2 linked regions of the Elephas maximus indicus genome follow. Each later gene encodes a partner of the first gene's protein in a complex. Links are inferred from orthologs where the notes say so. Each region holds a gene or a part of one and is shown in the gene's direction. Other genes may lie near its edges.

Evidence for each region.
Region 2: the proteins of MICALL1 (region 1) and EHD1 are in contact, whole or in part, in an NMR structure (PDB 2KSP), measured with the Homo sapiens proteins. The link is inferred for Elephas maximus indicus from reciprocal best matches to the Homo sapiens genes MICALL1 and EHD1. Residues at the interface, in NP_203744.1 of Homo sapiens: Lys422, Tyr424, Asn425, Pro426, Phe427, Glu428, Glu429; in NP_001269373.1 of Homo sapiens: Gly464, Ala467, Lys468, Met471, Asn478, Leu481, Gly482, Trp485, Lys486, Lys492, Asp493, Gly494.

Annotation. Positions count from the first base shown.
Region 1 is NC_064822.1:181,793,875-181,808,788, forward strand, and holds the start of MICALL1 (MICAL-like protein 1), read left to right. Parts: upstream 1-7,366; 5' UTR 7,367-7,692; coding exon 7,693-7,838; intron 7,839-12,975; coding exon 12,976-13,024; intron 13,025-13,470; coding exon 13,471-13,612; intron 13,613-14,914. UniProt on the Homo sapiens protein: Lipid-binding protein with higher affinity for phosphatidic acid, a lipid enriched in recycling endosome membranes. On endosome membranes, acts as a downstream effector of Rab proteins recruiting cytosolic proteins to regulate membrane tubulation.
Region 2 is NC_064825.1:128,039,150-128,054,540, reverse strand, and holds the start of EHD1 (EH domain-containing protein 1), read left to right. Parts: upstream 1-9,356; 5' UTR 9,357-9,488; coding exon 9,489-9,892; intron 9,893-13,223; coding exon 13,224-13,321; intron 13,322-15,391. UniProt on the Homo sapiens protein: ATP- and membrane-binding protein that controls membrane reorganization/tubulation upon ATP hydrolysis. In vitro causes vesiculation of endocytic membranes. Acts in early endocytic membrane fusion and membrane trafficking of recycling endosomes.

The DNA of each region.
Region 1 (14,914 bases):
CTGTTGTCAGTCCCTCTAGGTGAGGGTCTTCTTCTCTTTTGCTGACCCTTTACCAAGCATGATGTCCTTCTCCAGGGACTAGTCCCTCCTGATAACCTGTCCAAAGTACATGAGACCAAGTCTCACCATCCTGGCTTCTGAGGAGCATTCTGGCTGTACTTCTTCCAAGACAGATTTATTCGTTCTTTTGGCAGTCCTTGGTATATTCAGTATTCTTCACCAACACCACAGTTCAGAGGCAGGGCTGGCGGAAGGGGAAAATGGAGGGTTACTGCTGATGGGTATGGGGTTTCTTTTTGGGGTGATGAAAAGATTCTAAAATTAGATGATAGTGATGACTGTATCACTCTATGATTATACTGAAAACCACAGAAATGCACGCTTTTTTTCTTTAAATTTTATTTTGTTGTTGTTGAGAATACGCACAGCAAAAAAAAAAAAAAAAGCCCAAAACCCAACACTTTTGAGTTTTGATTTTGACTCCTAGTGACCCTATAGGACAGGGTAGAAGTGCCCCATAGGATTTCCAAGGCTGTGATCTTTACGGAAGCAGACTGCCACATCTTGTTCCCGCAGAGCAACTGGTGGGTTCGAACTGCTAACCTTTTGGTTAGCAGCCGAGCATTTAACCACTATGCCACCAGGGCTCCATATACACAGCAAAACAAAGACCAACTCAACAGTTTCTACATGTACAATTTAGTGACACTAATTACATTCTTTGAGTTATGCAACCATTCTCACCCTCCTTTTCTGAGTTCTTCCTCCCTCATTGACATAAACTTACAGCCCCCTAAGGTTCCTATCAAATCTTTTGAGATGTTGTTGTCAATTTGACTCCATATGGATAATTCTTAAAAGAGCATAATAAGTTCAAGGCAGACCTTTTTTTTACCTGTTAAGCTAAACCATTGTTCGGTTTTAAGAAGACTTCAAAGGAGATTTTCGGTTTGAGGTTTAAACATTTTCTCAGGGCAATAGTTTCAGGGTGTAAAAATGGTGTGGCAGTGGGCATCTGTTCTCCTCTAACTTCACAAGGTGGAAGGAGAATCAAGATCAGTAGCCAAGGCTGATTCCTTTGATGTGGAGGTCAGATACGCTTCCACCCTGCAAGCCTTTTTACCAACTTCCCTCCCACGGCATTCTACTCCTCTGCTGGGTTCGATAATTCGTTGCAATGGCCACACAGGACTCACAGGCAATACTCACAGTTATGAGGTTTATTAAAGAAGTAATAGATTGCAATTCAGGTTCAAGAATGCCAAAGATACATTTATTCTATCAGGACAGCCTCTTCTCAGCTGTGCCCACAGGCACACTTCTGTCTGGCCCCTCGGCCTCTCCTCTGCTGGGGTATTTCAAAGTTCTTTTAGCTCTGCTGATGAGTGTCTAGAGGCACCCCACTCTGCCAGTAAGCCTCTGCCTGAAGGCCCTCAGCTCTAGCTCCGTGGATTGGCAAACCCAGCTCCACCAAGGCCTGGAGGGACCCTACTCCTACAGCAAGCCTCCTGCCTGAAGACACACTGTCTCCCGCAGGTCTCCTGCAGGTCACCTGCCTCTGCTGCCACCGTTTCTCTGCAGCTGCTTCTCGCCATCTTTGGGTCTCTGTCTCCTGAGTCGGTGAGGGTTTCAGTACAGGGATCCCAGGCCTAAAGGACATATCCTGCTCCTGTCTTTTCTTCTTGGTTGTAGTGAGGTCCTACAGGTCCCCGTCTGCTCTGGAATTGGCTCTTTTAAGCCTAGTGGGATGGCAAAACTGACCAAGCCCCTCGTTAGGGTTCCATACACTTTATTTACATGGTCCAGCTCCCACAAGGGTGCCATGCACCTTATTTATATCATTAGCAAGCTATCCAACCCCCTTGGTGGGCCACAAGCCCTCATTTGCGTAGTCCCCCCTAGTCATTTGGTGGGAGTTACAAAGACTACAAGGGCCATAATAAGTAATTCCCTGCACTGCACAGGGGTTCATCCGCTCTCCATAGCTCCAGAAAATCTATGGTGTGTTAGAATTTGAAATTCTGTTCTAAAATTTCCCCCTTTTGATCAGGATTCTTCTATGGACCTTTGATCAAAATGCTGAACTGCATGCTTTAAAAGAGTGAATGATATGGTATGTGAAAGATATTTCAATAAAGCTGTTGTTAAGAAAAAGTTATACTTGCAAGTTGTTGGAAATTCAAGCAATAATGGCTTGTAAAAAGCAGGTCTGCCACACCCAGCCTCATGCACTGGGGTGCATATCCTTCCTTCCTGACATTTAAAATGCCATATACATTTACGTAAGTGTTTAGGTACATAAACACATACAACATATATATTAAATTTTTGTTTTACAAAAATGGAATTCTATTATACCTGTTATTACTCAGTATGCTATTTTCACGTCTTTTGAGGATGTATTTCTACAACATTCGTTTTAACAGTGGTGTGGCTTTCTGTTGTCTGGCTGGGCAGTAACTGATTTCTCCAGACTCCTACTGATGAATATGTAGATTCTTCCCAGCGCTTTGCCATTAGCGGACAATACATATCTTTGTATATCTTGGGGCCCCTGGGACAGTATTTCAGAGGATAGAATCCTAGACACAGGCCTGCTGCATCAGAGGGTGAGCAAATTTTCAACTTTTATGGATGTTGACATGGAACCTTGGAAGGTGCCATCCTTGTCCAGGATCTTCCGGCAAGACAAAGAGAGTGGGTGGTGGGTGAAATGGAGCCATCCAAACATCTCCTCCCCCAACCAGGAACACACACACACACATGCATATTCCACGCCTTGAAGACTTCTGGCTTCTGTAAGAAGTAGCCCACAAATCTCTAAACAGGTACAGAGCTGGGCAGAGACAAAAGCCAGAGGTTCCTGGGTGGAACATTGCCAGGGCATGATGATATTCTTTTCTCCTAGGCCCTCTCTAGATCCCCTTCCTTGGACCTCACCCTTTTTATCTTTCTGAAACTTACCTTGAGATCTGTGTGGGGAAATAAATGTAAACTATGTTGTTGTTGTTGGTTGCTATCCAGGTGGCTCCTACTCGTGGCGACCTTATGTATACGAAAGTGAAGCGTTGGTGGGTCCTGCGCCATCTACACGACCATTGGTATATTTGAGTTGTGGTTACTGTGTCAATCAGTCTCATGGAGGGCTTCCCTCATTTTTGCTGACCATCTTCCAAATATGATGTTCTTTTTCAGAGACTGGAATGTAAACTCTAGGTCCTGATCATTCATTTGTTCATTTACTCACTCATTTATCCCACCAGTGCTCATTAAATGTTAGCTTCTTTCACCTCCAATGGGTTCTTTTTTTTTAGCCTGCTTTTACACCTCCCCGCACAGCATGTTGGCAAGAAGAATGTAAGCGAAGGCACAGTAGTCTGACCCCAGACTGGTCAGGGGCCTCCTCTGGACTCTTGTGGTTCCCTGAACTTTCTTGTTTCTTATGCTGGATGCAGAGTTACCTTGGAGCCTCTGTACCTCACCAGGATGTGCTCCAATTATCTTGCTAAAGCACAGAAAAGTGTGAATGATATATCTTGCAATAAATTTGAAAGGATTCGAGCTCTACCTGTAATGACATCTCTCTTACATTCAACTTGCTTTTTGGAGGATGGGTGGGGAGAAGGTATGGAGTTGCAGTTAGGGAGCAGGGCATTGCCCACGACGGAGGCCTAGTTTATTAGTGGCACTGAGGCACCACGAGCACCTGTGGAACCTCACTCGTCGCTCATGTCAAAGGAGGCTAAGAGTTGAAAAGTCCATGCAATGGACCATGGATAACTTGAGGGCAGGGGCTGCCTCTTTCATATCTGAACCTGACACAGTGCAGATGGTCAATACAGAGGAATCATTTCCCCATCCTGCAACCCTGTGCCTCGTCCCTCTCCTCCATCGCACCTAATGGCCCCCAGCATCCACCCAGTTGTTGAAGCCCAAAGCCTTGTAGCCATCTTTGACTCCTGCTTCATGCCTACATTCAATCAATCAGCGAGACCTGTGGTTCCTCACCCACAACACGTTCCCAGTCCATCCACTGCCATCCCCACTGCCCTGCCCTGGTCCAGGCCTCCATCATCTCTTGCCTTGATGACTACAGTGGCCTCCAGACTGGTGTCCCTGTGTCCACTCTTGTCCCCCTAAGGTCCATTTGCCCAAAACAACCTTTAATAAAATATTAGATTGTGTCACTCCCGTAAGACTCTACAATGACTTCCTGCTGAGCAGAGAGCAAAGCCATCTCCCAGCTCTACAAGTCCCTACATGGATTCCTCTTTGTCCACCTCTTGGACCTCACTTAGCTCCAGTCTGTTCACCTCGTTGTACTTGAAAATAGCAGACTCTTTCCCCCCTAGGGCCTTTGTCTTGGCTGTCTCCTCTCCCTGGAAGTACGGCCTCAAGATCTTTGACAGCTGGCTCCTTCTTATCCTTCAGCTCAAATGTGGCCTTCCCTGGTTGCCCTGATTGTCCCCATCATCCTCTATCACAGCATCTTGCTTTTCTTCCTAGTCACTGTCACCATCTGGAGTTATCTTTGTTGATTTGATTACTTGCTCATTGCTTCTTTTCCACTAGAATGTTAGCTGCATGACGGCAGGGGCCTTGTCCTGTTTACCCTTATGTCCCCTGGAGCCCCAGCACCTGGCCCACAATAGATGCTCAATAAACATTTGTTGAATCCATGCTCGGATGTAAATGCATGAACAAGGTCTGGAAGAATAAATTTCAAATCAACTGCCGCTACCTCTTAGAAAAAGATTGGAATTGAGGGGGAGTCAAGCAGAACATTTAGCTTTATTTTATTTTTGAATTTTGGTAAGGAGAGTGTATTCACTTCTTAATTGATAGTTTAAAAAGAAAACAAAACACCACTGAATCAGGGGCCCAAATCCCTCAGTCCTAATCCTGAAATTATGGCGTAATTTTGGGCAAGTGGCCGAGACCGCCTATTTGTCTGTGGCTTCTGTCCTCACCTGTCAACAAAGACCCACCTTCTACCTGGATTTACAGTCTGCAGGGCATTCTTAATCCATTAGCTCACTTGACTAGTCCACAAGCCCGGGACACAGGCGGGGCAGATGACTATCTCCACTTTCCAGGGTAGGAAATGGGAGTTCAGAGGGGTGAGTCATCTACCTGCGGTCATGCAGCTGTGGATACGCAGGTCCTTACCTCACAGCGTGCTGAGAGCTGACTCAGGTAATGACTGGACAAAGCCCACAGATGGGCTAATGGAGGCCTAGAGGGACATGCCAGGTAAGCTATTATTATGGCAATGGGATGGCAATCAAGGGCAGATCTGGAGCTATCTTCAGGGACCTGAAGGGAGCCCCATAGGCTGGTGGGATAGGGTTATAAGCCCACCTGAGTTTTAATGAAAAAGTCCTGGATGGTTTCCAAAGGCCAAGGTCAATGTTGGTCTCAGGATCCTGAGCCCAAGTTCCTGATTTACTGAGGGCACCTAGAACCCTGGTTTCTTGGAGCTGCTTTTCGCCAAGGGATAGGGCAGGGGGTAGTAGCTCAGGGCTGGAAAGAGGCCAAGAGGGCTGGCCAGAAAGCTCCTTCCTAGATGACCTGGGAGTCCATATTCTGGGCCAAGATGAGGGCCTTTCAACCTGAGACATGCCCAGGGGCATGAGGCTGGCCCAGGTTAACACACTGTGGTCCCCAGGCCTTGTGTCATAATTGTACGGTAGACTGGGACTCAGAGGACCTTTGAGGGATTGGGATCCCCAAGCCAGCATCTCTCCTTCATAATTCACCCACAATGGTCCAGATGACAAGATGGGTACAAACGTTTTCAATCCAATTTCCCACACGTTTACCAGGTACGTACTATATCAAGAGTTAGAACCTATAAGTGATGACCTTAATCCTTTCAGCCACCTTATCAGGCAGGAGTTAGCCCCATTTTTAAGATGTGGAAACTGAGGTCAGGGAGGCACAGGATCACAGGGCTGAGAGTGGGGATGCCAGGACTCAAGCCTGGGTCAGTCTGACGCCAAAATCCGCATTCTTTCCACTCTCTCAAGTGTTGAGGGTTGATAAAGGTGACTAAGACTCTGTTCCTCCCCTTGGGGAATGGGTAACAGCCCCATCCCAACTATTGTGCTGGTCAGAGTGATGTCACCACCATGGAAGTGAGTGGAAGGCTGATTCATCGGCCTGGAAAGTCAGGATAGGCTTCTGGTGGAGAGGTAGGGAAGGGGTGTGTGTGTGGGTGAGGGGAAAGGTTGTAGAGAATGAGGCTGGGTAGGTTCCAAGGCCAGTTTAAGGCCCCCCAGTGCCCTCCTCCACCAGACTGGGGTCTGCTTCCCATTGGTCCTGGGGGAGCCCCACCCACCACCACTCTAGTCAGGGCCTAAGGGGACCAAGGCCTCAGTGGGATGGGGGCAATTCCCTGAGGCTACACACGGTGTGAGGAGATTTCTGTACGACTTGGTGGTTGTCAGGGTCTGTGATGGCAGATGCTGAATACATCACTGAGTGGACAAGGGACTGACGCTAGGAGGGAGGGGATGGCATAGAATCTCCCTGACAGGCTACGAGGGGAGGAGACTGTGGAAGAGGAAACGACCAGGGTGTTGTGGAGTGGTGAGAAAGAATGAGGCCAACTGGCGTCCCTAGGGGGTTCTGCAGGGGAAGTACCTGAAGTGAGGGAAAATGCCTCCCCAAAGCTTCAGGCCTCAGCGGGGTGTGTGTGTGTGTGTGTGTGTGTGTGTGTGTGTGTGTGTGTGTGTGGGACGATTAGAGAAGTTAGTATGGGGAATTCGCGGGTCCTTTTAGGCCAAACAGGGAGCCCGGGTGGCACAGCGGTTACACGTTCAGCAGCGAACCAAAAGGTCAGCGGTTCAAACCCACCACCCACCAGCCGCTCCGCAGGAGGAAGATGTGGCTCTCCTAAAGATTACAGCCTTGGAAACTCTATGGGGCAGTTACGCTCTGTCCTCTAGGGTCGATTTGAGTCAGAATCGGCTGGACAGCAATGGGTTTGGTTTGAGGCCAAAGAAGAGGAAAGAGGCAGGACGGTAGAAAGAGGGAGGTGCCTCTTTCCGAGGGGAGGAGAGTTCCAGGTGGGCAGGGTGGTGGTGCAGGTGGTGTGGGTGGAGGAAGTTATGCGCGGAGAGGCTAGTTTGCGGTGGGTGAGGGGACTGGAGGGGCAGTCCCAGAGTTCTTTAAGGGAAAGGGAATGATCGAGGGGAAGGGGTGACTGGGATCCTCGAGGGAGGGGCTGTGGGTGTCATTCCCTTTGTGGGGGTCCGCGCCTAGGGGCGGAGCCACCGCTGGGTGGGGCCCAGGTCACCGCCCCCTCCGCTCCCCGGCGGCGGCGGCGGGCGGGCCTCGCGCGGGCGTGGCGGCCGGCTGGAGGGCTGCCCGCGCTGCGCCGACGGCCGGCCCACAATGAGGGGAGCGGGCGGCGGTGAGTAAGCGGCCGCCCGCGGCTGCTCGGGCAGGTCCGGGCGGGCGCACAGGGAGCGAGCCCGGGCCCCGAGCGCGGCCCCGCCTCCTCCCGCCTCTCCCACGGCCGCAGGTCGGCGCCCGGAGCTCCCAGCGTGCCGGGCAGGGCCGCGCCGAGCCGCAGCCGGAAATCGGCCCTGAGCGCCGCGCGGAGCCGCAGCCCGAGCCCGGAGCCCGGAGCCCGCGCGCGAGGCCTGAGCCCGGGGCGCCCGGAGCCGGGCCGAGCCCCGCGCAGCCATGGCGGGGCCGCGGGGCGCGCTGCTGGCCTGGTGCCGCCGCCAGTGCGAGGGCTACCGCGGCGTGGACATCCGCGACCTGAGCACCTCCTTCCGGGACGGCCTGGCCTTCTGCGCCATCCTGCACCGCCACCGGCCTGACCTGCTGTGAGTGCTCGAGGGCGGGCGGGCGGCGCGGGCCCGGGCTGGGGACCCCCGCCCCTCTCAGTGACGCGGCGCCGGGCGGTGACAGGCACCACCCCCCGGAGACGGAGACGGAGACGGAGACGCCGACCCTACCGGCCGACGCGGAACGCCCCGCGGGTCACTGAGACCCCAACCCAGGGCCCCCTCGCCGCCCCACTAAGCCTCTGACCCCGCCCGCTGGAACTCTGCACCGGAGCCCTTGCTGGTGCCCTCAGCCTAGGGGCGCTGACCCCGCCCACAGGAGACTTTCCGCCCCAGGAACGCAGCCCCCCAACTCCTTGAGCTTCTCCTCTCAAACAGGGACACGAGGCTCCCCCTAGGGCTGCTGGCCCTCCCCGGGGCATTGAGGCCTGCTCACTCTGTGGGCACCCCCTTGCTCTGTGATTACAGTGAACCCTCACGTCTGATTCCCAGGGAGATCGTTGTCTACAGGACACGAGCACGGTACTTGGCAGAGACCCTAGTTAACAATTGTTGGATGCATGAATGTACACCCCCTCCCCTCAAGTTAGGACGCAGACCCGCCTCCCCAGGTGTGTGCCTCCAACCCTTCTCAGTGAGGCAGGAAGGTGATGTGTCAGGGAAGAAAAATGGGGCTTAGTGGCCTTGGGAACAAACTGCAACCAGCTGCTTCAGACTGTGAAATTGTTCTTTCCTCCTCGAACTGCCCATTGAGGTTCTCTTGAGAAAATTTATTCAGAGCCCAGAGCAGCTGACTTGTGGCATCTATCTCAGCTCCTCTCTTGGGCCCTGGAACCTCTTCCTTTCATTCATTCATTCCTTTATAAAATTGAGTGAATGCTTGTCTGGTGCCCACCATTCCTTGGGCTTCAGGCCTCTCATCTGCAAATTGAGGCAGGAGTCATGGTCCTCGCCTCCCTTACTGACGGCGCCCCTGTCTGGAATGCCCTTCCCAGGGCTCTGAGTCTGTGTCTTTGCCTGCTAGACAGCAGCCTGGGAAGGGCTTTGATAAAGGAGGGACAGACGGGAAGGATTGCCTCAGGGATTTGATGGTGCTGGTTTTTGTTTTTGGTTGGTACAATAGCTGTGGGTGGTGTGGGTCGGGCCCTGAGGGAGGTTTTAGGGGTGTGAGTACTGGGATTGGATCCTTGGGTTGGAATGGAGTGGAGGGCTCAAGGAGGCTTTGGTTTGGCTGGGGAGCAGGCAGTGAGGCAGGAGGCAGGGGACAGGGCCAGTGTATGAAGGGACTTGGGTGTCAAGCTGAGCCATTTGGTGTACCTGAGCCTGTTGGCATCATAGTGCAGGCTGCCTGGTTGGTGTTCAGCCTCTCCATATCCCAGGTGTGTGACCTTGGGTAAATGACTGTGTCCCTCCAGGCATCAGTTTCCTCATCTGTAGAGTAGGGTTGATCACAATAAGACCTACCTCAAAGAGCTGTTGTGAGGACTCAATGAGATAATAATAAGTGTTCAGTTAGCATTAGTTATTGTTAAGTAGTAGTATTAGGCAGTAGAGGGGGTGAGTGATGAGAGTGTTTTGTTTCTTTGTTTATTCAACAACTATTTATTGTAGAGTTACTACTCTGTGCTGGACACTGAGCCTGGTAATGGAGATACCCACCAAGGTAACAAGCAGACAGAAACCCCACACAGTCTCCCACAGTCTGTGTGAGGAAGCAGGTGCATCAACAGTGATGATAATTCCATGTGATAAGTGCTGTCTCAGAGGGCCAGGCTGGGAAGGCTTCCCAAGGGAGAACAGAGTCTTCAATGATACGGCAGTGGTTAGGTGAGGGGCATTCTGGGCAGAGGGACCACCTGAGCAGAGGTGCAGAGGTGTGAGGTATGTGGAGCCTCAGGCAGTGCTGCTGGAGTGGGTTGCGCCAGGCAGGGAGGGTCAGGAGGTGCTGCTGGCCAGATTCCTCATGACATTTTTTGTTGACCAAGGAGGTGGCTATGTCCACTCACTGCAAGGGAGCCCTGTGGGTTTTAAGCAAGGGAGCGGTGTGGCCACAGGAGGCATGGAGGAAAGTGTGGCTCCCCTCCTGAGAGGAAAGCCAGAATCGTGTCCAGGCATTCATTGCAAGGCAGGGCAGCGCCTGGGCTGCCAGCTCATTGTGCAGGAGAGCCACTGAGGCCCAGGTCTCCCATAAGGCATAGGGCGGGCCTTACAGATGGGTAGGAGAGGATCTCCATGAAAGTGGGGCAAGCAAGACCCCCTCTCAAGCTCCTGGAGCTGTGGGCCCTGCACAGTTGAACCCAGTGGTAGCCTAGGCCTCTGCTGGGGAATATCCTGCTTTGGTGGTGAGGGGCTGGTCCATGTTCCTCCCCGCATATCCTGGTATCTATGTGTATGACCTTTACCAGTACCTGTTGCCAAGGAGTTGATTACGACTCCTGAGGACCCCATGTGTGTCAGAGTAGAACCGTGCTCCATAGGGTTTCCAATGGCTGATTTTTCGGAAACACATCACCAGGCCTTTATTCTGAGGCTCCTCTGAATAGACTCGAACCTCCAACCTTTCAGTTAGCAGCCAAACATGTTAACCATTTGTGCCACCCAAGGACTCCCTGTGCTCTTCCAGCTCTTTTAAAGGGAGTTTGTTGGTTTTGTTTTGTGTCTTTCATTTCCCCCAGAGCCAAAAAGAACTTCCCTCCTTTTGAAAATTCTCAAAAAATAATGTGAGCTACCAAAGGCTAGATGTTGTTTAGGGACTGAGGTCGGGGTGGGGAAGAAGTTGGAGGAAAACGAATTGTAGTTTCCCAGAGACTTATGCAGTTTTCACATGGTTTTCAACATTTATTCATTCAGCAAACACTTAGGGAGTGCCTACTAAGGAGCCCTGGTGGTGCAGTGGTTAAAGCGCTTGGCTGCTAACCAAAAGGTTGGTGGTTCAAACCTACCAGCTGCCCCACAGGAGAAAGATGTGGCAGTCTGCTTCTGTAAAGATTACAGCCTTGGAAACCCTATGGGGCAGTTCTGCTCTGTCCTCTAGGGTTGCTGTGAGTTGGAATCGACTCTCCAGCAGTGGGTTTTTGGTTTTTGTCTAAGTACCAGGAACTGTGTGGAGTGCCAGGGGCACAGGGCAAACAAAATATGACCCTGGCCGTCTAGGAGCACTGCTGGGGAGACTGGAGTAAAGGGGCAGAGATATGTTGATTTTGTCTCATTTAAGCTCAGAACCAGCCTTTGTTGGGGGCTGGGCTGGTGTTTCCTCTTCTCTTCCCCCCACATAGCTCCCCTGATCCGGAGCCTGAGGCTTGGAGAGGTTAACTAACTTGCTGTGGGTCACACTCTCAGTGGCAAAGCAGGGCTTTGAACCTAGTCAACCTGGCCCAGAGTGCATTCTAAACAGCACCTCCTTCCATGATCCTTCCTTCCCCAGGACAGCTGTGGGGGACCAGAGGTGAGAGGCGGGGTTGAAGGTAAAACAGAAATCCAGCCGGGGGTGATGGGGAATTGGGGTGGCTAGAGTCAAGGGTCCGGGCTCTTTTCACTGCTGAGGGCCAAGGCCAGCCTTGGGGTAGTCCAGGCCTAGGCTGCTCAGTGGGGAGTCAGTGAGGCAGCTGGGGGAGAAGAAAGGGGCTCGGCCAGGTATGGCAAAAAGGGGGCTGACACTCACACAGAGTTCCATCTCCTCCTGTCTCCCCAGTCCACCCAGACTTGCGGTGCCAGACTCCTTCAGAGGTTCCCAGGCTGCCCTTGCCTGCCTTTGCCCAAGGTTCATTGTACTGAGACTCGGCCTGAGAAAATGTTAGGGGTAGAGGCTGGGAGGAGGGGGTGGTGCTTGCCCCACGTCCTCATATCTGTGAGGCCTCAACTCTGTCCTCTCCACCAGTCTGGGAGGGGGTACTGGTGCCTTCCCCAGTTTACAGAGGGCTGGAAGGACCGCTGACCTCCCCAAGGTCATACCAGCCAGGAAGAGCAGGGCCTGGGCCCTGGGCCTTGGAGACACTGTCCGCTACTGCTTTGGACCCACCCATCCTAGGCAGTCGAGGCTACGATTTTAGCCGTAGAAGGCAAAGCTGTGCCGTGCACCCTGGAGGCTGCTGGGAGGGAGGCTGGGCTGCCTCTGCTGGTGTCAGCCACTCCAGTAACCTAGCGTGGGGAGGGGGAGGAGGGGGATAAATAAAGCCAGCAGGCCTGCCAGCTGTCCCATCCCCAGGGAACCCCCCTTTCCAGGCCCTGCCTCCTCTCACCTGTCCTGGCTTAGAATCCCAGAACCCCTTCCTGCTCCCCCAAGGGAAGATGTCACCGGCGGGGTCAGCCAGCCGTTCAGTGCCAGCAGTCTGGAATATGTACGAGTTCCAGTCTGGTTCAAACTTGTTCTTCTATTCCTGGCCCCATTAAAAGGAATACATTCATCTCTGGTCGGGGCTCTGTTGGGGATTTTTTGAATCGTCGCGGCTCCTCCGGGACTGTGACCTGCAGTGGAGGGCCAGAATTTCAGTTCCCAGCCTGGCTGGTTTCCCCTCCCTGGGCCTCAGTGTCCTCATCTGTAACATGGGGTAAATAGAGTTGCTGTGACAGTAAAATGAATGCAGGAGAGGAGCTCAGCAGTGCCCGATGTGAGGTCAACAATCAGATGCCCCTCTTATTACAAGCACTAGTCGTGGGCGTGGAAACCCTGGTGGCGTAGTGGTTAAGTGCCACTGCTGCTAACCAAAGGGTTGGCAGTTCGAATCTGCCAGGCGCTCCTTGGAAGCTTTTTGGGGCAGTTCTACTCTGTCGTATAGGGTCGCTATGAGTTGTAATCGACTGCACGGCACTGGGTTAGTCGTGGGCTTAGTTTTGTGTTTGCCACTGACCTAGAGCCCAGGCGCTGGCTTCCATGGAAAGGCAGCTAGAATCCTAGAGTCTAAACTTGAAAGTTTAGGCTTGAGCTCCGCCCCCTCTGCTTGAATGCCTCCAGGGGCCATGAGCTCATCCTGTTCCTGCAAGTGGCCCCAGTTTTGAGCAAGTGCTTGTTGCCTCAGTTTCTTCCTCTGCCGCCCACAGATCCCTCCCCCTGCTGAGGCTGCTGCTGGCCAGGTTGATACCACCTCTATTGTGCTCTGTCCTGACCCCACAGCCCTGCCACAGCCCCTGCTCACAGGTCCTCCTTCTGACTTATCCTTCTCTCTTTTGCCTCTTGCAGAGATTTCGATTCACTTTCCAAGGACAATGTTTTTGAGAATAACCGCTTGGTAAGTCCCCTGACAGATGGAAGCCCAAAAGCGGGTGTGTGTGTGGGGGGGGGGGGGGGGTGTGGGTGTGTGGGTGGGTGTGTGCGCACGCACGCATGTGTGTGCAAGGTGTGGGTCCTGCAGGGTAGTTGCTGAGGCAGGGGCTGCTGGACCCAGCACCCCTGGGAGCTGCCCTTGCCTGTAGGTGACCGGGCTGGGGGCTGGGAGAAAGCCCCGGCTGCCCCTCCCCCACACCTTGAGCTCCAGGCTCCTCCTTCCCCAGCCCATCTTGTTGGGCTCAGGGTGGGTGAGAGCTGAGGGAGCCCATAGTTGCCCCTGCCGCTGGTCCCCCTCATCCTTCTGGTGGGAGCTGGGCTTCAGCAGGGGGCACCCACTCACACTGCCTCCTCCTCTTCCTGCTGTGGTTGTTTCTGCCCCATCCCCATCCCTCTACCTTCTCGCACCAGGCCTTCGAGGTGGCCGAGAAGGAGCTGGGGATCCCTGCTCTTCTGGACCCCAATGACATGGTCTCCATGAGAGTCCCCGACTGCCTCAGCATCATGACCTACGTGTCGCAGTATTACAACCACTTTTCCAGCCTTGGCCAAGGTGAGGGGGTGCCTAGCCCTTCAGGGATGGAGGCTCTGGGAGGTTTGCTACTCTTTTTCTGAGCTACAAACAGGCAGCTGGGGAGGCAGCATATCAGTCATTCACTTAGCCATTGATTCAGCCATTGAGATATTTGTGGAGTGCCTGTCTTGTTCAGGGTACTGGGCTAGACCGCCGAGATACAGCTGTGACCACCATCCCTGCCCTTATGGTGCTCAGAGTCTCCCAGGGGCAGCAGATGGTAAACATGTGAGCCACACTGAGGTTATGTTAATGATGGAACGGCTTGAAAAAGGATAGTGAGAATGGTTGCCCAACTTGAAGAATGTAATCAGTGTCACTGGATTGTACACACAGAAATTGTTGAGTTGGCATATGTTTTGTTATATATATTTTCATACATACACACACACGTAAAGCAATAAATGAACAAGATAAGGTCAGAGGAGATAAAACAGGTTCAGTTCATCTGCTGTCTGTGAGTTCATCTCCCTGGCACCCACCCTTACTTCCTGTTTGCAGACACTTCCCTGGTTTTTGCCCTCCAGTGGGGAAGTGGCCCTGTAGGGCTGTCTTCCCTTAAATGTGACCTTCAAGTCTGAGAACTGTCAGGCTAGGGGATATGGGTGGGGCTCCAAAGCCACCTAGAGCTGACAGATGCAGGAACCTTTCCTGGAGGCAGCTGGGCCTCCCCCTTTCATTCTGCAGAGAGGAAAGCAAGAGAGGCCCAGAGAGAGGAAGCAAGGAGTCCAAGGTCACACAGCAGAAAAGCTCAACAGCTTGGACAAGAATCCCAGTGTCCTGACCCTCCTGGGTCTCTGCTGTCCACAGGTTCTGAGGGGGTGGGAGACTTGCCTTACTCCTGTCCCTTTTTAGCCCTACTTCCTGCCTCTACTCTCAACACCAGCCTAGCTCTTAAAAAAGGTGTTTTATGAAATCGGTCTTGTTTTCTTCCTGAGAGTAAAACATGCTTCTGCAGAAAATTTAGAACATAGGAAAAAACCATTAAAAATCACAATAACCTATTACACCCCCTTGATATAACACTAGGGATTAATATTATAATTGAACAAATAAGATTATATGTATTTTAATAGAAATTAAAAAAATGTATTTCTGGACCACAGAGTCTTGGTGGGAGAAGTCTAGGGTAGGGGTTAGGAACACGGACTCAATTTTGGCTCTGCTGTTTGCTGTTTGGGTGATCGTGGGCCAGTTACTTAACCACTCTGCCTCAGTTTCCCTATGCAATGGGGATAAGACAGGTGTCCACCTCACACGGTTGATGTGAGGAATAAACAA
Region 2 (15,391 bases), on another chromosome or scaffold:
ATGAAATGCCTGGAGAGGACTTGAGGGGGCAGTGGCCTGCAGCATACAGGTGGAGCTAAAGGCAGTGATCATTCAGGCAGCAAGATTCACGTGCTTCATTTGTCCCTTCAGGCTGCTGAGGCCAGAGGACATTGGGGTTTGCGGTGCAATGAATCACTTTTATAGGGCCTTTCTTGCCATGGTCTTGTAACATCCACAAAATAATTGGCCGGGACTATGCAAATAAGGTGCTTGGGGCCCACCAAGGGAATTGGACAGCTTGCTAACAATGCAAATAAGCTGCGTGAAACTCTGCAGGGATGAGAACATGCAGATGAGGTGTATGGAAACCTAATAAGGGGACTGGTCAGTTTTGCCACCATGCTAGGCTTAAAAAGAGAGCGAATTCTAGAGAAGAGAGTGGACCTCATTATCACCAAGAATGAAGAGCCAGGAGTAGAGTGCATCCCTTGAAACTGGGGACAAAGAGACAGGTGTAACACCAGAGACAGCTAGAGGCAGCAAGAAGCAGCAGCAGAGAAGCAGCGGCAGGAGAAGCAGGAGACTGCCGTGAGACAGCTCAGTGGGCTTCCCAGCCTACGGTATGAGGTGGCTACAGTGCGTGTGCCAACCCACAGAGCAAGAGAGCCGAGTGCCTTCGGGCAGGAGGCTTACTGGCGGAGTAGGGTACCTCGGAGTAGGGTACCTCCCTCCAGGCACGTATTGGCAGAAGCTGATGAGCTTTGTAACACTTGCCCGAGAAGGGCAGATGCGGGGCCCGGGGGGCCGAGGGCCAGAGAGAGGCCTGCCTGCTGGCACGGCTGAGAAGCAGCTGTCCTGAGGAAAGAACTGTATCCTAAATTGTTGCTGATCCTGATTTGAACCTGTTACTTCCCTAAAAAACCTCATAATCGTTAGTATTGTCTATGAGTTGTGTGTGGCCACTGCAACGGATTACTGAACCCAAGAGAGAAGGCGGGGGGGGGGGGGGGGACGGCTGGTGTCAGAAGTGTTAAAAAGATTGAAAAGAAGAGGTATGCCTGACCTCTGCCTCACAACAATTAGCCTTGGGCTGTTGATCTTGATTCTGCTCCCCCCTTGTGAGGTTAGACGAGGAGGTTTCACACCCCCGACACAATTTATTACAGGGTTACACCTACCTTATCAACTTATGCAGGGTAAGGGGGACCCGAGGCCATTGCCAGGTTACCCTTGATATCACTGCAGAAGGTGAAATTCCCATATGCCAAATAACTACCACTCCCCACGGAGGGAGTCCCCACCCATTAACCTGTCCACAGCAAAGGCCTGGGGGCCCAGGCAGGGCCCACCGGGGTCTCTGGGGAGTTTTGGGCAAACCCTGCGTGCTGAGCTCAGCTGCCGCTCCTGCCTCAAGATGGGGCCATAGGCCACAGGGGACTGAGACACATGTTTGGAAGCCACAGTGGCAGTGGGATGTCTCCTCTAGCCCAGCAGTTGAACTCCAGTTTGTACCCAAGGTGCTCAGAAGCCTCAGCTCCGCAAAGCATTCTGTGGGGCCTTGCCCACATGGTCCCCCAGCTGCAGGGCAGTGAGGGGCTGGAGAGGCCATGGAGCCCATGAGCAAGGATGCTGCTTCAGGCAGGTTCCTGCCAGCCTGGGCTGGGGAAGAGGCTCTTGAAATCCCCTTCCTCTGCTTGTCCACAACCCGGCCTTGTGGTTTCAGATGGTTAGCTCAGAACAGAGCACAGTGTGCAAGCTCCAGAGACCCAGCTTCTCATTCAGATCTGGGTGACTCCAAGCAACTTAGCATCCCTGGGCCTCAGGCTTTTTCTCACTGGGATTTGAAAGCAGCTAGTCCACCAGCTGCTCCATGGGAAAATGATGTGGCAGTCTGATTCCGTAAAGATTACAGTCTGGGAAACCCTATGGGGCAGTTCTACTCTGTCCTATAGGGTGGCTATGAGTCAGAATCAATGGCATGAGTTTTTGAGATCCTGAGCTCTGACACTCTGTCACCTCCAAGCTGGGCCTTGGTTGCCAGACACCTGTTGAAGTCTCTAAAAAACCAGTTGCCATCGAGTCAATTTTGATTCGTGGTAGGTCAGAGCAGAACTGCGCTCCAAAGTGTTTCTAATGGCCGATTTATCAGGAGGAGATTGCCAGGGCTCTCTTCTGAGGCGCCTCTGAATGGGCTCAAACTTCCAACTTTTTTGATCCGTAGCTGAGCTTTTTAACCCTTTGCACCACGCAGGGACTCTGCTGAGGTCTCTAGAGCCCAGCCACTCTCCGCAGAGCCCAAGCCCTCAGGGCCATGTCCAGTGCTTCTCTCAGGAGGGTGAGTGGGAACAGCCAAAGTGCAAGGCCTGTGGCCTTCCTGGCCAGCGGAGGTGGCCCACAGCCCCACACCCTCCGAAGACTTCGCCATGCAAAGGAGCAGACCTTGCAGTTCTTTACCTTATTTGGGCAAAACTGATCTGTTGACCAAATCCATTTGTCTTCAGATACAAAAAGCCATGCTTATACGCAAACGAGGAGCCCTGGTGGAGCAACGGTTAAGTGCTTGGCTGCTAACCGAAAGGTTGGCAATTCTAACCCACCAGCCACTCTTCAGGAGAAAAGTCCTGTTTATCTGCTCATGTAAAGATTACAGCCTAGGCAACCCTATGGGGCAGTTCTACTCTGTCCTACAGGGCCACTATGAGTCACGGTCAACATGAAGGCACACAACAACGGCACATGCAAACTTTCTCAGCGGCAAGAACAAGCCGGTCCACATCCCAGTGACAAGACTGTGTTTTGGCTTTTCTCAGCCCAACTTTTCTGCCAAATTTGGAGAAAAACTCCATCTTTTTTTTTTTTTAAGTTGTCTTTGGGGCCTTGTAGACACTTCTCTTAAAAACAAACAAAACTGGTTGCCATCGAGTTGACCCCAATCCATGGCGACCCCGTGTGTGTCAAAGCAGAACTGTACTCCTTAGGGTTTTCAATGGTTGACTTTTCAGAAGTAGATCTCCAGGCCTTTTTTGCAAGGCGCCTCTGGGTGGACTCGAACTTCCAACCTTTCAGTTAGCACCCAAAAGTGTTAACTGTTTGTACCACCCAGGGACTACGCACTTCTCTAGATCAGGCCATGATGAGACTGAGCAGACTGCTTTGAGGGAAGGGGGCAACAGGAGACCCTTCTCTGGCAGCTGACAGAGAGCAGCCCCCACCAGAGATGCAACCATGCCCCAGCCCCTGGCTCTGCAGGTGTGTTTGTGAATCTAAAGAAGACACCAGGAGAGGGAACGGGCATTACCTCTGAGATAAAAGGAGAATATTGGAACCCTTTCTCAGTCTCTTGCCCTGGACCCAGGAAAGTGAAACAGGGCAGAAACCAAAAACGAAATAAATGGTTTGTTCACATTTAACAAAACTCTCCCACTGAACAGAAGTGGCTCTACTCAAAACACAACAGTGAAAAAAAAGGAGGCCGTTTTCACAATGTGGGGCATTACAATACAGGGAAGCTGCCCAGACCCTAGGTGCCACGCCTGTGAGGCCCAGGAAACTCATTCCGAGAGACCTCCTCCTTCCAGTCCTTTGAGTTCCTTGGACAAAGTCAAGGGACCATACATGTAAGCCCAGCCTGGGTTTCATTTATAAATAACCCAGGAACATTTTGTTGTTTTCACTGTTATTGGGCTGAGTTTTCCCAGCACACAGGGCTCTGGGGAGATGTGACAACTGTGGTGGGTCGATGCCAGGGCTGCTGGGATCGTCGTGGCCTCATTCAGCCCATCGAACAACTGCCTCATTCAAGACCCTGGGCCCTGGCTCTTCTCTGGACCAGCCCAGAAACTGCATCTCCGGGGCGGGCCCCTCAGAGCACCATGCTGGAGGCAAACCCTTTGGGTTCTGAGGCTGGTCCAGGAAGTCTGGCCTGGGCCGCCCGAGGCTCCTGGTCACCAGCGGGCTGCAACCTGGGTGATGGTCCTGCTTTGGAGCCTCAATGTCCTCTTTTGAGGAGAATGCCAAAAAAAAAAAAAATCTGGTGGCTCTATATTTTACAAATCCTTGATGGAAAGAATGCTAAGGAAATTCCAAGTAAAAGCAGAAAGGCAGGGGCCTAAGATCACAGACAGGGACGGAATTACTCCTGCACTCCCCTGAGGGTGAGGGAGGAAGGGGGGAAGGCAATAGATTTAACATTACTATCCCATATGCAATTCTATTTCAACCTATGTGATCTGTATTTTTATTCCTGTTTTATAGACGAGAGCCAAAGCAGAGATAGGAATGGAATGAGGGAGAGAGCCTTGCATACTTCAGAGGGGGAACATTCCAGACAAGAGGACCAGCAAGGACAAAGGCCCAAGGGCCGGAAGATTCTTGTTTGTTTTTTTTTTTAATGTGTAAACCCATTGCCATCAAGTCAATTCCGACTCATAGTGACCAGTCCCTGGAGAAGGACATCACACTCGGTAGAAGGTCGGCAAAAAAGAAGACCCCCAACAAGATGGATTGACACAGTGGCTACAGCAAGGGGCTCAAACACAGCAGCGACCGTGAGGGTGGCACAGGACCAGGCAGCGTTCTGTTGTACACGGGTTGGCTATGAACCAAAACTGACTCAACGGCACCTAACAGCAACAACGGGTTAGCTTTTTTTTTTTTTTTTTTATTGCAGTGAACATATACACGCCAAAACATTCAATAGCACAACTGCCACATTTATAATTCAGTAACACTGATTACATTTTTCATGTTGTGCTGCCACTATCGTCATCCGCATCTGAAACACACCATCGCCACTAGTGTAAACTCAATGTCCCCCCTACAAATGGCCTGGCAGAGGCATCTGACCTCCTCTAACTTCGCGAGGGGGAGGGAGAAACAAGGTCAACAGCCCAAGGCTGATTCCTATGAGGTAGAGGTCAGGCTTAGCTTCCTTTGCCGGCTTTTCACCAGTTCTGACACTATCTGTCCCTCCCACTGCACACTCTACTTTTCTGCTCGGTTTGATAACTCATTGCAATAGCCACACAGAACTCCCAGATCATACTCACAGTTATGGGGTTTACTAGGGAAGCAACATGTTACAATTCAGGCTCAGGAACGCTCAGGATACAGTTCTTCCATCGGGACAGCCTCTTCACAGCCGTGCCCGCAGGCAGGCCTCTCCCCGGGCCCCTGGCCCCTCAGCTGCTCACCTGGCCTCTGCCCTGCTCCATCAAGTGTTACAAACCTCTTTTAGCTTTGCCAGTAAGTGCCCGGAGGCACCCCGCTCCAGCAGCAAACCTCAGCCCGAAGGTGCTCAGCTAGGTTTCTAGTCCTGTGGGCTGGGAAGCCCACCACCCCCTCTCCTGTAGGGGTCTCCAGGTTCCACTGCTGCCATCTCTCTCTCTCTCTGTCTCTTTAAGCCTAGCAGGGTGGCAAAACTGACCAATCCCCTTGTTATGGTTCCATGCACCTCATTTGCATAGTCCCACCTAGTCATTTGGTGGCAGTTACAAAGACTATGGCTAGAAAGGCCATATCAAGTAATTCACTGCACCACACCCCCCAAACATAAACTCCCTCTTTCCCCCTCCCTCCCACCCATGGTAACCACTAATAATCTTTGGTTTCTATATATTTGCTTCATACATGTGGTATCATACAGTTATTTGTCCTTTTGCGGCTGAGTTATTTAGCTCAACAAAATGTTTTCAAGTTATATCCACATTTGGGCATGCATGTGTTGTTAATGGATTGAACTGTGGCCCACCAAAATATGTTGTAAATGTTAACCCCTGTGCCTGCAGATGTAATCCCATTTGGGACTAGGGTTCTATCTGTTATGCTAATGAGGCCCTACCTGCAGTGTAGGGTGTCTTAAGCCAATTACTTTCAAGATATAAAAAGGCAGATTAGACATAGAAGCAAAGAAGCACAGATTGGGGAAGACAGACGCCAGGTTACATGAAGAGCACCAAGAAACAGAGGGACAGATGCTAAAAATAGATAAGGACCTTCCTCCAGAGCCAAAAGACAGAGAACTTTCCCCTAGAGCCAGTGCCCTGCATTCAAACTTCTAGCCTCCTAAATTTCGAGAAAATAAATTCCTGTTCCTTCAAGCAACCCACTTGTGGTATTTCTCTTACTGCAGCACTTGGGAATTAAGATATATGTATATATACCACATTGTTTATCCCAGAATATTCTCAATGTGTCAGAGGGCCTTGTGGTGAGAACAGACGAGGCAGGCCTGAGTCTAGAGGAAGTCCACTGACTGTAAATTAGTTCAACTTCCAGGAAGGAAGTTTGTTGCCATCTACCAAGATTATAAATGCTCAACTTCAGGAATTTGTTCTAAGACATGTTTGCATATTTGAGAAATGATATACGTGTAAGATGATTTACAGCAGAGTTGTCTGTGAGAGCAAAAGATGGGAAGCAACATAAACGTCCTTCAATTTCACCCTCTGCAGAGCAGAGGAGAAATGCCTGCTTTTGCAAAGCGAGAAGCTACATCAGGAGGGTTATTCTGGAAGGGTAAAGAGATGGGGCGAGAGGCTCATCAGAGGCTGTGATAACAGGCCAAGGGTGACATACCAAGGACCAGAAGAGACTACGGAGGTAAGTGGGGCCAGGTGGGGTTCTGGGCCTGCAGTGGAGGTGGGGCCTGGAAGAGGACATGTCCAGCAGGCTGCTGGGGGCTCAAGAAGAGTCAGCTGCACTGCACAGACATTTGCTTGGAAGCACAGAATGAACCAGCTTCTAAAAGGGCAGATTCAGAGAGAGAACAAAGGAATGGGTGGCCCATCCCAGGAGCCCCGAGGCACCAGCTCTGATTATCTGCAGAAGACCATGCCTAGCCGTGGCAGTAAGATGGCGATGAAGAGGTCAAACACCCAATGAGGCCAGGAGCAAGGGGCAACCAAACCTCCCTTTCCTATTCCATGGGCTGGGAAAAAGGGAGTATGTTAGGGGTATGGAGTTGTCTGGAAAAATCCAGGAGTCTGTTCTGTCAAAGGCTCAGTCCCCTCCTGGCGCCAACCCAGCCTTCTGCAACCTGGAGAGGTAGAAGGCCTTGTCGAACATGCTTGGCCCCACTCCCTAATGTCATGTCCCCATCCCTCCAGGCCCAGACTGAGAGTCTCTGGGCCCTTCTCCCCGTATAAAGCCAACCTTCCTTCCTTCTGCCCAGCCAACCCTGCTCCTCCAAGACCTTCCTTCCTCCTTGGCTAGTCCATCTCCCTGTCTTCAGGCTCCTCCTCTGCAAAGGAACATAGAATATCTTCACCTCTTCAGCCATGACACCAGTCCTTCACCCTGCAGCCCTCTCTGGCTACTCCCCACCCCATCATCACCTCTGAGTGAGATTTCTTTTCTCTGTTCCTGCTTCTCACCTTCTGTTCCCTACTTCATCCTGTTCCCACCATCCCCCCAAAGTGTTCTCACTTACTTGGTTCATGATTTTCATCATGCCAACTCCAGGGGACATTTCCAGTTCTTATTTTACTGGCCTGCTCTGTCATCTGGTACAAGAGATACTTCTCGGAAGCATCTCCTCCCAGTCTTTCCTGCGTGCCCCGCTCCTTTTCCACTCTGCCCCTCATATGCTCATTCTTTCTCATGGTATCAATTATGCATTGGGAGAAGGCTGCAAGAAGCAAGAATTTGCCCTTGAACAGGCAAGAGAAAGGAAGAAGTAGGCTGAGAGACAAGGTGGGATGCATGGGCATGGAGAGGGCAGAGAGAATCTTATTGGAAAGGGGGTTAGGCAGAAAAACAGACCCACAACGGCACATCCCTCAGAAGGTACTGAGGCCTTTCTTTCAGGAATACCTGCTCCACAAGTGTAACAAGGGGTGGGTAACTAACTCTCCCATCTTGCCCTCTCTGATTCTGACTTGACTCATCTCCCCTAAGATATGCTGCTTCTTCTCAGGTTCAAGTTCTCCCAGACTCCAGCCTACCTCTTAGCCTCTTGCCCAGCCTACTTTCTTCCTGGATATAGGCACCCAGCCCTACAGGTTTCCACATCTCCTAAGAAGTCAGAGAGATGGTCTGAAGGACTTCAAGTCCCCAGGTTCATTTTAGATCTGTCCAGGAGACTCTGCTCACCCCCACCCCACAACACTTTGGTGTCCTGTTTACGTAACAATCACAGTCCCCAAAGTTCTGACCTCACCTACTGAAGATTCTCACCAGCCCGGACAGCCAAGAGAGACTATGTGTGACCAGAGGTGATGACGGGGGGACAAGCCTAATGGAACGGCCAGAAACTGGTAAGGGGGGGGGGTCACAGCCACAGTCCGACCAGACTAAAAGATGGTAACGGTGGTGACCCTGAGAAGAAAGAGGAAGTATTTGGGTTTTTTAATTCCCCTAAATTCCCACAAGATTTCATTGTTGCCCCACATTTCCCCTCTTTCCCACATAGGGAATTTCCGATTTCACTTCCTCAAAACTCAAGTGGCCAGAGGGCCTCGACTTCCTCTTTACCTCCTCCGGCCCACCCTCCACAGTTGCAGCCTCTTCAGACAGGCCTCTTCTCCCTACTCAGGTGCAAGTCATTCATATCCTCCATTCCTTGTGTCCATCTCCCAATTCCAAGCCTGCTGGCCTCAGGGGAGGTCAGGCCTCTGGCTGCTGGTCTGTCTTTCTCCTCGGCCTTCTCCCTCCCCGTGTTTCTTTTCCTAGACACCACTCTGCCTCGGATTCTCCCCTCCCTCACCTTCCCCTACTACTCCTTTCTTGGTTCTCCGTCTCCCAAGGCAGACGAAAGGTGAGGGGATGAGAGGGAGTTACGAGTCATGGAAGCAGGGGCAAGACGAGGAAGCAACAAAGGGCAGTGCAGGAAAGGAGGAGCTGTGGCCCCAGGGTCCTCTGACACTTCGAGGATTCTTTTGGTGGAAGAAGGAGGATCAAACTGGGGTCAAACTGGGGATGGGTTGGGTATTCAGAGAGCTGGGATGTCTGAGTATTTCTCGGAAACTTGAGGCCGGGTGGAGGGGTCTACGAGCGCTGGAGGGCGGGCAGCCCCTGGGGACTGCCTCGCGCCCGACTCCCACATTCCGCCTACTCAACCGCAGCACTTCCGCGAGCCGCCCTACTAGGGGCGGGGCGAAACAGGTGCGGTTGCCACGGCACCAGTTATGGCGGCCAGGGCCAAGGAGCGGGGCAAACTGGGCTCGCGAGATTTGGAACCGGCCAATGGGAGGCAGGGAAGAGGAGGACGTGGCGCGGGTTCGTGGGCGGGGACGGGAACGGCTCCTCCCCTATCCTCCCAAGTCTCCGCTGTGCCGCGCAGCGGGAGCGCGCGCTCCAGAACGCGGGGCCTGGCCTTATAAAGGGCGCACGGGGCGGCGCGCGCTCCACTCTGCAGAGGGCGACTCCGCGGGCCGTGGCGTGCGCCTGCGCAGTGTGGGCCGCCCCCGCCCCCGGCCCCGCCGCCGCCCCTCCGCCGGCAGGTCCGGCCCCGCCTCGCCTCGGCCCCGGCCCTCGTCCCGCTCTCAGCCACCGATCTGCCTGCAGCGGCCAGCCCCGTGTCCAGAAACATGTTCAGCTGGGTCAGCAAGGATGCCCGCCGCAAGAAGGAGCCGGAGCTCTTCCAGACGGTGGCCGAGGGGCTGCGGCAGCTCTACGCGCAGAAGCTGCTGCCCCTGGAGGAGCATTACCGCTTCCATGAGTTCCACTCGCCGGCGCTGGAGGACGCCGACTTCGACAACAAGCCCATGGTGCTCCTCGTGGGCCAGTACAGTACGGGCAAGACCACCTTCATCCGGCACTTGATCGAGCAGGACTTCCCGGGGATGCGCATCGGGCCCGAGCCCACCACCGACTCCTTCATCGCCGTCATGCACGGCCCCACCGAGGGCGTGGTGCCCGGCAACGCGCTCGTTGTTGACCCGCGGCGCCCTTTCCGCAAGCTCAACGCCTTCGGCAACGCCTTCCTCAACAGGTATTCCCCCCACCCCGCGATCCCGGGGGGCGGGGGGGACCAGGGCCCAGATCGCGCACTCGGGCCCCGACCCGACCCGCCCTCGGCCTCCGCCCCCATCGTCCTTTGTCTCCGAGGCCCCGGAGGGACCCCTCAACAACCTCTCCCTGGGACAGGAGCCCCTGTCGCGTCCCACAGAAAGCCCACTCCCGAGGTCTGGGAGTAGGCGTCGCCAGTTTCCCCGGCTTCTACCGCCCCCAGAATTGTCCAGGTCATCAGTTTAACTCCCAAACCCTCCCACAGACCCCAGCCCCACTTCCCTGGCAACCAGGGCCCGCGCTGGGAAGGTGACAGATTCCTGTCCTCCTGTTCTAGGTCTCCACCTCCTGCCCCCAGTCCTTCCCCTGGGCGGCATGCACCCAGTTCATTCAAATCTCTTCCCCCCTCCCCCTTGACTTACTTCAAGGGTCTGTTTCTTAAGCGTTATGGAGGAACACGATGTAACTTTCAGCCATTCTCTGGGCTGGTGTGGTGTGTGTTTCTGCTTTGCCTCCCCTGGGGCCGTGGTTTGTGGAGGGCCAGGGAAGCTCTGCTGTGGCCCGCGCACTCGGGCAGCCCCCAGCAGACAGATGGACACTTCTCCCAGAGGCTGCTCTGGAACAATCTGCAGTGCGTGAGGCGGTGGGACCCAGGAATGGGATCCAGTCCCTAAGTCCTAATGTAGACTCTCTAGGAGGCCCCCTAAACTATTGGGCCTCAGTTTCTCCAGTTCAGTGGGTAGAACCTGCTTCCTCACGATGAGGGTAGTCCTCCAAGATTCTCATCCTCACAGTGGGTGCTCACCTTTCTGTAAAGGAACTGGACAGTGCTGTCAGTGGTCATGAACCCTCCCCCTCCCCCCCCCCCCAGGACATACCAAAGGACACAGCTTCTGCCATCTCTCCCACGTCCCATTCAGGGAGTGACTTCACGTGCCTTTCAAAGGCTGAGTCCGAGGAAGAGCCTAGAAAAGAATCCTTGAATCTTGCTGTCCAGGTCTCCGCCCTGTATGATCACATTCCTTTCCTTCCAGAGTTGTTCAGCCCCACAGGGCGGGCTAGCCTGTCTCTGAGTGGAGCCAGTGGCCAGGCCTCCGCTGGGCACAGAGCTGACCTTTCCCAGAGAAGACCAATGGGCTTCTCCCTGGTTTTCTGCCGCTTTCAGGTGTGTTTTATAGCTGTCCTGTTTTATGGCGCTCAGGATTTGAGTGCTGGAGCCAGAGTTGAGAGGCGCTTCTGACTGAAGCCCCAGAGAGGCAGGTCCACTTAGCCTGGGGCCTTCCTCCAATTTCCCTGAGTTTTAGAATCATGATGCTTCGTGAGAAACAGTTGGCTCAGACAGTCAGCTGGTGGAAGCCTTACTTAGCGGGTGGAAAGTTTGGCTGCTATGTCGGAAATTCCACACTTGAGGTCTCTACTTTCATCTAGGACTTTGGGACGCTAGAAGGAAGGTTAACTACACCTGCCTCTGCTGTCTTTAGGGCTTCACCGTTGAGTGCAAGAGCACACCTTTTTTGAAGGCAGAGGCAGGTCACGTGGCCCTTTTCTGAATCTGGGGACCTAGAGTTTTATCTAGCCCTGTTGGTTGTCCAATCTGAGGCTCAGAGGGCCCAGGTGACTTGTTGAGATCACACCAACCACCTGGCCTTTGAATAGCCAACCTCCGCTTATGGCTGCTTCTATGCAAAAAAGAGCTGGCAGGAGCGCTTGGTCCACGACAGGCACTTAGATGACCACAGGACCCGACCACCACACTTTTTGTTTCCCTCCTGCCGTCACCTTATCTCCAGAGGGTCCCTGACCACTAATGGCCTGGGCTGGGGGGTTTGCGCTCACTTGTGCTGTGTCAGGATGTGTGGTGCACAGTGCAGCTGGGGAAGGAGGGCACAACAAAGGGGGCTTTTCTCTGGCTGATACAGCCTCTCCCAGACTCTTAAAGAGACCCATTGAATCATGAACTTGACTTTCCAGACTTTAGACCTGAGTGGCTGCCCTAATGGGGCTGACCTAGGCAGGGTGCGATCAGGGTGTCCTAAGAGAGTCTTGTGAAAACTCCTTGTTGCGTAACTGGTGCTGCTCACTTGTAGTAAGAGAAGAGATCCCTGTGTCCTTGTTGGTGAAGACGGGACCCATCCACGCGGCCCACTCCCGGTCGTGTTTTCTGCCGCACTCACTGGCCTTTGCAGAGCCACTGCATTGTCCTGGTGTGAACTTGCTCGCCAGGCTCCTTCCAAAGCTTTTGGATGTGTGTGGCTTCTCAGAGCTAGTTCGCCTGCCCATCCTTCTATTTTACCTTCTCTCCTGGTGCATAGTTGTTTATGGCATGCAACAGTCGGCTCGCTGCTGGTGCTAGCGAGAAGGTCCAAGGTTTGCTCACCCGTGTGCGGGTCAGCTGGTTTTGCTCTGTTGGCACTTGCAACGGCACTTCTCACCCTGGCCAGCTGCTCCCAGCCTGTGGGCCACTGGTCACTTGGGGGATGGGGCCAGCAGCCACACTAAACAGTTCAGATTCCTCCCCACTGTTGGTCAGGCCATGTCTGCGTCCTGCAGACAATGAGTCAGTATTTTCTTTGCTCACAATACCTTTTTCAGAGAAGTTTTTAAAGGACCCTCTTTTGTGTCCAGTAAAGAATCCCAGCTATCAGTTTGGACAGCCTGGCCGCTCTGAGCTTAGTGTGGAACTCAGGCACACACAACTAAGCCCTCACCCATGAGTCGCAGGCCTCCCCGTGGCTTTGTTCTTGTTTGGCCTGCTTTGATTTTCAGAGAATGGTGTGTCTGTGCTTCCCTACCCCATTATCAACCAGCCGTTTGCCGTCCCTTCACCCCCAGCCACTGGGTGAAAGGAGAGGGCTGGACCTGGCCCCAGAAGCATTAGGAAGGGACCATTTCTCTTTGGTGTGTAGAAATTTAGCCAAGTGGTTGAAAATTTCAGTATGGAATTCTGAGGTCCTAGTGTCACCCCCCCTCCCCCCCATTTCCCTTCTGAGTTGAATGATGACCGAGGCTAGTGGAATTTTCACTAACAAGTCAGCAACTTGAGAGTTGAACTCTCGAACTCTGGGGGAAAAGCTAATGCAGGGAAGTGCTGATGTGGGTCAGTTTCAGGCTGCTGGTTGGGTTCCCAGTTCAGAAGGTCCATACACGTGCTGGCCACCCTGGAAATGAAGACGACGGCAATGACCTTTAAGTTGCTCGCTTTCGGAAGGGAAGCCAGAGGTGGCGATGAAGGCGTGCAGAAAGCACTGTGGTCACATTGTGAGCAGCAAGAACGTGGCCTTGACCCCTCTCTTCCCGGCTCTTGCTGCCTGCAGGTTCATGTGCGCCCAGCTGCCTAACCCTGTCCTGGAGAGCATAAGCATCATCGACACTCCCGGAATCCTCTCCGGAGAGAAGCAGCGCATCAGCAGAGGTAACCCATCCTGACCACCGCCAGCACCTGGTCTAGTCAGACAGCTTCTGTTTGACGTCTGGGACATGGACCAGGTGCTGCCCTGGAGGTTTCTTCCCACCCTGGGCTCTTGTTTTCAGTGTACCCAAGTGAAAAACCATTTGACAGGAGCCTTTTGTCTGCACAGTGCTTGGGACACAGAGCCAGGAGCTACTTTGTTCCTTGACTCCCTCTGCCAAGCTCACAAGAACAGTCACGGCGAGGCCACAGCCAGCTTTGTGTGGCCCCTGGGACACCTGGAAAGGGGAGCGAATTGGGAGGTGTGGGCTCAAAGGGAGTTGCTCCATAGCCGTGTTCCAGGTCCAGCAGGTAGCACTGCTGTGCGTGAGCCCACAGCTCCAAAGCTGTGTACGTGCCTAGTGAGCAGGACCTCCAGAGCCAAAAGGAGAAGCTAGCAGAGGTCTGTTAGACGTTGAGGAGCTAGTGGAAATTTGCTTAAATGGTGGTCATCAGCAGCCTCTGGGTGCTGTGCGTGGCATAGGGTTTTCATGCTGAGGATTGGTGCACCGGAGTCTGTGGGTGGCAGAATTGTTGAAGTGCTCGACTATTAGCCGAAACATTTGTGGTTCAGACCCACCCAGAGGTGCTTCAGAAGACAGGCCTGGTGATCTCCTTCCAAAAGGTCTCAGCCTTAAAAAACCCTGCAGGGGCAGTTCTACTTTGCCAACACAGGGTCGCCATGAGTTGGAGTTGTCCCGACAGCAACCAACAGCACCAGCAGTGGTGCACAGGCCCAGTCCAGTGATGGAAACACCTGTCCAGATTTTGCCAGGCTTTTCTAACTATCTGGTTCAGGATGAGCCTGAACTCCCCTTTGGTAGAAAGAAGGGCAGCGTGGGGCCTGAGTGCTCTCCTGGGGAGCGTGAAGACAGCAGGGTGGTACCTGGCCTCCTCAGAAGTGGAGGCTGCTTCGCAGCTGCAGACATGAAAGTGAAATAAGATGAAACTCGGAGGGGTTAAGGGCAAGTGACCAGATTTGTTTATAATTAACTTGCAAATCTTTTCTGACTATTTCCCTCTTGGCCACCGGGCAGTGGTGAGCTTTGCAGTTGAAGGTGGCAGCCTGAGATTGGGAGTGGGGGATGTCCTTGTCTCTCTCTGGTGGCTCTGTGGGGGTGCGGGCCTGTTCCGGGTGCCGAGAAACCAGGGCTTTTTGTTCTCCAGGCTGTGAGCACACTGAAAGTGCTCTATCTGCAGATCTAAATTGGGTTTAAAAGTCACCAGTTAAGATTCTAGGTTCTCCCCACCCTGGTGATAAATGTCACTCCTGGGAGTTTAAGGGAGTAGATTTGGAACACCTCATAAAAAAAAAGCAATCGCTATGTTTGTTCTTTTTTACTGTTCTTTATTACTGTTGCAACGTGGTTTTAAGAACGTACCTGATAATCAAAAAAAGCCCTGTCATTTGGTAAAACAAGGCTAGAAAATTGGAATAAGTTACTTGTAAAAGGCAAAAGAAAGAACCACAACAGCTGAGGCTCCATGGAGTTAATCTTGGGTATGACCTGGAGGAGGACGTGGACTTGGGTTCTCCTGACATGGCCATCAGATAGAGGTCATCAGCTAGAGGCCGAGCCACCTCGGGGCTTTGGACAATGCTCTAGCCCCAGCAGGCATTAGGCCTTCAGTGGTGAGTACACATCTTCAGATAAGGGACAGTAGCCCACAGGTGGAGGCCTGTCTTCCCAGAATGCTGCAGGCTGCTCAGCCTGGCCCTCAGTGCAGGGAGCGAAGGTATTTGAGAATACGCGCAGGCCTAGGGTTCTACGGCCCATGTTGCCTCATAAAAAGGAACTCAGAAACAGCTGTTTTCCACCCTGTGCTGTGAAGCCCCACTGAGCTATCTTTGGCACTTCAGCCTCGAGTCCAGAGCTTAGCAGGCTGAGAAGTTTTGAATACAAGTCTTGATGTATGCGCTACCCTGCCCTGCTGGGATCCACCCTTCTACTGTCCTGTCCCTGCTGCGTCCTTTCCTGGTTAGGACTTCGGGAGGAGCGGCAGTGATGTCTCAGTGCGCCCCATAGTCAGTGA